Callithrix jacchus: one gene and its partner. Each later gene encodes a partner of the first gene's protein in a complex. Links are inferred from orthologs where the notes say so. Each region holds a gene or a part of one and is shown on either strand. Other genes may lie near its edges.

Region 1 (4,184 bases):
AATCTGGGAGGTGCAGGTTACACAGAGCTGAGATCGCACCACTGCACTCCAGGCTGGATGACAGAGCCAGACTCTGTCTCAAAAAAATAAATAAATAAATAAGAGGGCAGCACCTCTCACCCAAGAAAGAAGGAACCAAAGCAAAGTCAGGAGTCCCAACTGAGCTAATGATCCTATTGACAATCCCATGAAACATAAAACTGGCTGTTCTCACACCATCTCAACCACTTTATTTCACAGGTGGCTCTGAGAGTGATCAGAGGTAGACGACCACATGAGCAAGTACAAGGGCAAGCCTGCCTGGTACACTCGCTGGGAAAGCCTCAGGCCCAGATCTCAGACTTCACACAAAATTCTGCATTAGGAGGATACCTCCCTGACATCCACTCTTGATTTAAATCTTCCCAGCAGATCAATTTGGGAGGCAGAGGCTGCTTGTGTAGGTGTTTCCGTATCTATTTTGATTTGTGCTAGAAGCAATGAGCATGTCTAGAAAAAGAACGGATGTTAAGTGGCTTTCTAGCAATGACACAAGAGAGACACGTGGCCCAACCTGAGTAGCAAGATATACGCGGTGAAGGCTGAGAACACCCGAATCACTGTAGCGGCATACCTGGCATGTTAGAGGCGACTGTATGTTTAACTTCCCGTTCTTGGGAATGTCTATTCTGTATCCGAGGGGAAGAAAAGCATTGAATCCAACAATGAGGTCAGGGTGCTCGTGGAAGAGCTGAGAGACACGTCTGATGACTCCAGGAGTATCGATACTAGAAGAAACAACAAGAGTGGGTCTTGGGAAGCAAATAAAAAATGAAATCTGTTCCCTACTCCCTTGATACTGCCACATAACAACCTTCTCCACAGACAACAAAGCAAGCTAATATGATCCACCAGGCACAGTGGCTCACACCTGTAATCCCAGCACTTTGGGAGGCCAAGGCAGGCAGATCACCTGAGGTCAAGAGTTTGAGACCAGCCTCGCCAACATGGCGAAACCCTGTCTCTACTAAAAATACAAAACTTAGCGAGGCATGGTGGTGCGTGCCTGCAATCCCAGCTACTGAGACACAAGAATCACTTGAACCCAGGAGAGAGAGGTTGCAGTGAGCAAAGATTATGCCGCTGTACTCCAGCCTGGGCAACACAGTGAGACTCCGTCTCCAAAAAAAGGTGCCCCTGAGATAGCATCTGTACACCATGATCTATTTCCTGAGCAGCTAGGCCTGAGCTCCCTGTGCCCTTTTGGTGAGAACCAGAAAATACTGACATTGCTCAGCTCCCGCAAAACACTCCACGAATGAGTACTGGGTTCTGAAAATGTCAGGAGAGCCAACCGCAAGTCCTGGTCTCCAAGAAGTGGCAGGAGGCCTAAGTCCTCTAAGCAATGTGAAAAATTCCCTCATTTCATATCAGATGGGGATGACTATGACACAGGTTTCCATCTGAGCAAACGACTGCAATGCATAAACACCAACGGTACAGCCAAGTATGGGAAAAGTGTAAGATAAATAGGAGGGGAGAGATGGGGTCTCCCTCCGGGCTGCATCACAGCCCTTAGCACTGGGCTCCTGGAAGGAGACCAGGCCAGCCCCACCAAAGGGGGCAGCAGCATGGTAGGGATGTAACCCGAATGCATCTGAGTCAGAGGGTCTGAGTTCTAGTGCCACCTCTGCCACTTAGGTGGATCCCTTACCCATTCCAAGTCCCATTAAGCCTCCTACAAAAACAAGTGCATGATCCCAGGGTTTCCCATCTATCTGTAATCCTCCTTGATTCTGGGCCTGCAAAATCAGCTCATGTGTTTTAAACGTTTTCTGTATGCCAGCTCCCTTACTAAGCATTTTATGCGTCTCACTTCCAAGCAGGCCTGGGACTCCGGTGAGCCCAGAGAAGCATGCTGAGGACAAGATTAAAGAGGAAGAGGGTGCCAAAAATTTCAATCACCAAGACTTGAAAAAAAAAATCAAAATGGGTCCCACCAAATCTTTCATGAACAAAACTTATTTAACAATCAACATATTAAATCAAGGCAGGATTCGACTCTATGAGTGTGCACGGCCTCGCCTTCCCTGGCTCCCTCCAGGTCCCTGCCCTCCTTTCAGGAATCCCCACGAAGCTCCACAAAGTGGGTACTACCCATTTCCATTTTTGTTACGAGAAAGAGCTAAGGCTCTGAGAGATTCGACAACCCGCGCAAGGTCACCCGGCTAAGGGGGCAGCCTGGAGAGGGGAGGTCCCACCCCGCTAGGCCCGATTCCGGCCAACGGGGGTCCCCCGAGGTGGAGAGGGGCCCCGCGGGTACCTCTGGCTTTTGAACTCTTTCATGATCTCCAGGAAGCCGTTGTAGGTGGCGGGGTCGCTGCCAAACCGGATCTTCACCTGGTCCAGATAGGTGAGGGCGTCTTCAACCTGCAGAGCGGGGAAGAGTCCCGGTGGGCCGGGGCCGTGGGAGGAGGGAACGAGGGGCTGGGATCCCTGGAGGAGAAGGGAACAGGCCGGACCTTCGGAGGGCCAAGGTGAAAGGTGAGGAGTGAGGGATCGGGGACCGAGCAGAGGGGAGTCTGAGGCGGGGCCGGGGCCAGGGCCGGGCGGGGCCTGGGTGAGGGGCGCCTGCCCGCGGAGTCCAGAAGATGAGGTCCCCAAGGGAGGGCGGGGATGCCACTCACGTGCACCGGCAGTTTCTCGTGGCCCGCGGAGCCCGAGCGTCCCCAGCGGGCGCCACTCAGCCCCCGGCCCGCGGGGCCACCACTGCTGCCGCCGCCGCCAGCGTGCGCCATGTTCGAAGTCGGAGCTGCACCCCGCCCCGCCCCCGCCCGAGGGCCTCCCGCGCATGCGCAGCCTCCGCCTTTGGAGGCGGGGTTTGATGACGTTAGAGGGGCGGTGTTCTTTGAGGGTCTCCTCTGAGGATCTTCTTAAAATTGCTCTCAAACCTAATTAACGATTTATATAGCAGGCGGTAGGCGAACCAAGGCCCGCCGGTTTCTTGGTCTGGCCCCGAAAGCTCAGAATGATTTTTACATGTTTACATAGCTGGGGGAAAAATCCAAAGGAGAAGAATAGTCTATGACCAGTGAAGAAGTTTGTGAAATTCACATTTGAAGGTCCCTGAATAAAGTTTTATTGGCACACAGACACGCCTGCCAGTTTACCTAGGATCTCAGCCTGCTTTTGCACAATAGAGTAGCTAGTTGCTAAAGATCCTACAGATCTGCAGAACCTGATGTATTTACAATCTGGCCTTTTATGGAAAAGGTCTGTGGGCCCCTGCTTTATAGAGCTGATGGGACAATGAAATATGAGCACCCAGCGCCCTAATACAGGGCCTTGCATGGTGAATTTTTGCTAAACGGCCTTTGAGTTAGTCCTAATCCTCCATTTTCACTTCCCTGTCCTTGGTCCCATTACTTCCCAGCTGGACCAGTTTAGGAGCCTCCTAACCCTGGAACTTTCTCAGCCCTGGTACTCTCAAGAACTCCAGGCTGAGGGTGGTGGCTCAGGCCACTTTATCTAGGAGATAAAGACAGGAGAAATGCTTGAGGTTAGGAATTCAAGACCTCCTGGGCAGCAGAGCAAGATCCACGTCTCTACTAAAAAAAAATTGAAAGTGAATAAATTAGCTTGGCGTGCTATGAACTCGCCACTACACTCCAGCCTGGGAAGCATAGCAGTGTTTTTTGTTTGTTTTAGAGCATCTCACCTCAAAAAAAAAAAAAGAAAAAACAGAAAAGAAAAAACTCAGGCCAGGTGCGGTGGCTCACGCCTATAATCCTAGCATTTTGGGAGGCCAAGGTGGGCAGATCACGAGGTCAAAAGATTGAAACCATCCTGGCCAACATGGTGAAACTGCGACTCTACTAAAAATACAAAAATACCGTGTGTGGTGGCGCGCGCCTGTAGCCCTAGCTACTCAGGAAGCTAAGGCAGGAGAATCGCTTGAACTCAGGAGGTGGAGTTTGCAGTGGGCCAAGATTGCAGCACTGCACTCCAGCCTGGTGACAGAGACTCTATCTCAAAAAAAAGAAAGAAAAAACTCGGTTCATTCCACCACTGCTTCCAAACCTCCAAGGTCTTCCTATTTCTTTGTGTGTGTGTGTGTGTGTGTGTGTGTGTGTGTGTGTGTGTGTGTTGCCCAGGCTGGTCTTGAACTCTTGAGTTCAGGCAATCCATCTGCCTTGGCCTCCCAA
Region 2 (3,500 bases), on another chromosome or scaffold:
TTCTTTTCTCACTGGTTCAGTTTGGCTCTGTCCTCCCTTCATCTCTGATTGTGAGTATAAGCATATGTAGAAGGCAGAGCTGTAGAAGGAGCTTTCTTTTTCACTCCACTCCCTTATCCAAAAGGATACTCCTCATTCCCATCTCCCCTAGACCTTTGGGATCAGGTGTTCCTTCTCCCCCTTTCTGAAATGAGCTGAATGATATCTAGGAAAGCACCTTCAACATAGCAACTGTTGGAATAGCAGCTGCTCACTCACTCACCTCCATTGACATCCATAAATGCTCGAAGTGAGTTGGTGAGGTCCACCATGGCAGTAGAGTTGGCTGGGAAAGAGGGTACGGTTAAAGCGCTTCCTATGGATAACGTGCCGGGGCTGACCTTGCCATCTGGGGACGGAGCAGGAAGACTGTTACTTACGTTGCCTGAGGGAAACCCACCGGTCCAATCCCCCACTGCTGAGACAGGTCTGGATTTCGGACCCAAGGTGATGTTCCCTTCTTGATTCTCAACCCATAGGTTCTGGAACTCGTAGAGCTAAAAACGTGTGGTGAGGAAGGGCAGATGGAACGACAAATATACCCGGGCACGCAGGAGTCTCAGAGCACTGAGAACCATTGAAATCCACTGCTCTGGGGAAAGTAGTGGGGCAGCTTCATTCTTCGGGCCATGACCACCTCCCTGCTGCCTCTGCTCTTAAGTAAGTGGTGCCTGCCCTTGTAATTCCTGCCTACTGAAATATGACTCACAGCATGGAAAATCTACTCATGCTGGTATTAAGTGATAAAGAGAGATAGGAAAACAGCCTGGAAGTGGGGCCATCCTGGGACCAGGGGCCCCCATGCAGAGAAATCGCAGTCACCTGGTTACCGAGACTCCCAGCTGACTAGGAGGCCAGCTTCAGTTCAGACGGGAGAGACCACAGGGGGTTCCGGCAGCATCTGAAACCTGGTTCAGATGCCGGGGTCAGCAACCTTGAGGTCCTGAGTGCTGACTGGGGACAGCTGAGAGGTCCACATTAGGCCAAATACAGACCTAAAGGACCGCCCTTTGGCCGGTGGCCCGAGAGCAAGCTTCTGGGATAGACAAACCCCTGTAGGCATCCCACTCTATAGCTCTGAAAGACAGTGCTACTATCTATCCCTGCTTCCTGACGTGGAAGTTCCTCACATGAACTGTTCCTGAGACTATACATCAGGCATGAATCCATTCTTTTGTGTGGATCTGACAATACTGAAGCCATCACCCAGAACCTCAGGTTAATCACAGTAATTCCAGAGAGCACCCTGCCTTGAGGTGACAGAACAAAACAGGTGAGGGCATAGGCCTGGAAGGTACAGGATGGAGTCAGGAAACCTGAGCTGTGGTTCCAATCCTGTTGCTGACTCAGTAGGTCATTTTAAGGAAATCACTGAAGCTTTCAGAGCCTAAGCAGTCCCATCTATAAATGGGACAAGTTAACATGCGCTTCCTCTTGTATTACGGAAATGGGAGTAACACAAACAATACAGAGGCCAAAGTCCTCTGAAGTATTCACAGGGATATAAGTGCTTTTGGAATCTTGTCTTATTTGCCAGGAAGAGCATAACATTATTCCAAATCACCCCAAGGTTAAGCAGCACTCACCTGACGATGGCGCTGGTGAGCAGAATCGTTGGTTGGCTGCTGTGGCCAAGATACCATCTGCTGCTTGGGGGGGAGTGAGCACCCGGGTGGCATTTGGGGGTGAGCCCAGTGGCCTTGAATCTGTCAACGGAGGTCCTATCTGTGATTGGACAGTCTTTCTTTGCAAAGTGCTGGTGTTCTCGATGCTGGCACAAGAGCTGGGAATGGAAGGGGGCAGGCTTGGGACAGGAACCAAACTCCTCTGGGGGCAAGAGCTGGGGCCAGTGGTATTCTCTGTCTTCACAATGATGCCGACGGTGTGGTTCTGAAGGCCCCCAGCTGCTGGTGGCGTGAGGGGCCGGGGCCAGCCTTGCCGGTATGAGAGGCCTGGTAGGGGGGTGTTGGCGCCTGGAAGTCGCCGGGGGTCCGTGGAATCAGTAGGGCTGCTGTAGAGGTGTGGGCCATTGGCTTTCACCTCTGTGTTCACTGGCCCGTTGGCAGTCCCGCAAGGGGCTTTCTTGGATTTTTCCGCACAAGAACTGCAGCCGATGTCCTCTAGGGCTGAGGGCTGGAGGGGTGGAGAGCAGCTCAGGGAATTCTGGGTGCTAATCCCTGAGGGGCAGGACAAGGGGTAGTGGGAAGGTGTAGGTGTCTTGTCAGCTGTTTGCAGGGAGGTGGTGATTGAGCTGTCAGTCACAATAACAGGCTTAATATCAGCCTTCTCTGTCTGTTCAGAGTCCCAATGCGAAGGCATCTGCTTAGCAGATAAATGTTTCAATATGCTGCACTGGAGCGCAACAACACTACAGAGCCACTGCAATGGAAGGAGAGGAGAGGAGAGGAGGGTGAGAGGCCTGAGAAGTGCTGGTCCTTCCCGCCACAGTGGCCAGAGCTGCAGCAGAGCTGACAAGCAGTTTCCGAGGTCCCATTGCAAATGCTCACAAAGGGTGTGCTTGATTCCTGATAGAATTCCATTTCCATTCCCAAGCAAGACTTGTGGGTACACTCAGCAGGCAACATTCCCTCTGGCCAACAGAGCTTGGGATCCTCATTTTGGCTCTGCCTTTAAGGCTTACCTTGTGACCAATATCCAGCACTATCACTTAACCTCTCTATGGGTCTACTCATCTCTTTCTAGGGTATAGATTTCGGTGCACTGGGGGAATGATGCAGAGAAGCAGAGTGGTTGACTTTGTAGATCTCCTACTTGCCTTTGTGATTTGAGCCAGAAGTTCCCTCTGGAATACTCAACTATTGAGGGGTTAGGATGAGGGTAGGTGGGGACAGGAATGAGAATGACTGAGGCTACTTTAGATAACAGCTGTGGTGACATGGAAGACTGAATTTGGAATCCCAGCCCTGCCTTCACTCACCTCTTGCTGCTCTGCTTGGGTGGCTAAGTGCTCAGAGTTCAAAAGGTGCATCTGTGATTCCTCAGGGATCCCATTGCAGATCAGCTCCCCGTCCCGAATGGCCGCGGGTGCAATGAGAGGGGGTGGAAACTGGTACTGAGATTTTATAGCATCAGGAACCTGTTCAGGATAGACAGAAGGAAGAAGGAGAGGGAGATAGTTCCAACATGTCCAGTTGATTCTGCCCTGGTGTGCTGTTCTGTCTGTGGTGCTGGTGCCCAAGGGACCATCCACTCTGGGGTCCACTAAGGAAAAGGAGGCTCAGAAATGGAAATATAGCAGGTGGGGCCTCCACTTTTCTTCATCAAGGTCTAAGGCCTGCAAAACATAGAAACCACCATGTGCTGTCCTCTGCTTCAGCCTGAAAGGTGTAAAATGGGTACTGGACAGGGTTTCAGAGTAGTACTCTGGGTTCCTATTGCTCAGTGTCAAGTTTGGGAGGTGAATGAGCAGTCACTGAGAGAGAAAAATGCTTGACATGATG

What was found. Proteins that work in one complex are often made in the same cells at the same time.
Region 2: the proteins of SIN3B (region 1) and PHF12 are in contact, whole or in part, in a cryo-EM structure (PDB 8BPA), measured with the Homo sapiens proteins. The link is inferred for Callithrix jacchus from reciprocal best matches to the Homo sapiens genes SIN3B and PHF12. Residues at the interface, in NP_056075.1 of Homo sapiens: Glu307, Phe311, Leu318, Glu322, Val323, Tyr324, Glu325, Asn326, Leu328, Arg329, Cys330, Ile331, Leu333, Phe334, Asn335, Glu343, Leu347, Pro350, Phe351, Lys354, Phe365, Lys395, Arg396, Glu490, Glu493, Leu494, Val497, Tyr545, Arg546, Ile547; in NP_001028733.1 of Homo sapiens: Leu20, Met21, Gln23, Ile24, Gln25, Leu27, Leu28, Pro30, Pro31, Lys32, Thr33, Asn264, Leu266, Val267, Leu269, Val271, Val273, Phe275, Thr276, Asn278, Arg279, Ser280, Arg282, Cys292, Pro293, Leu294, Pro316, Asn317, His318, Ile319.

The regions. Positions count from the first base shown.
Region 1 is NC_133523.1:15,437,805-15,441,988, reverse strand, and holds the start of SIN3B (paired amphipathic helix protein Sin3b), read right to left. Parts: upstream 2,801-4,184; 5' UTR 2,778-2,800; coding exon 2,667-2,777; intron 2,410-2,666; coding exon 2,303-2,409; intron 768-2,302; coding exon 614-767; intron 1-613.
Region 2 is NC_133506.1:104,699,703-104,703,202, reverse strand, and holds part of PHF12 (PHD finger protein 12), read right to left. Parts: intron 3,137-3,500; coding exon 2,978-3,136; intron 2,419-2,977; coding exon 1,626-2,418; intron 389-1,625; coding exon 263-388; intron 1-262.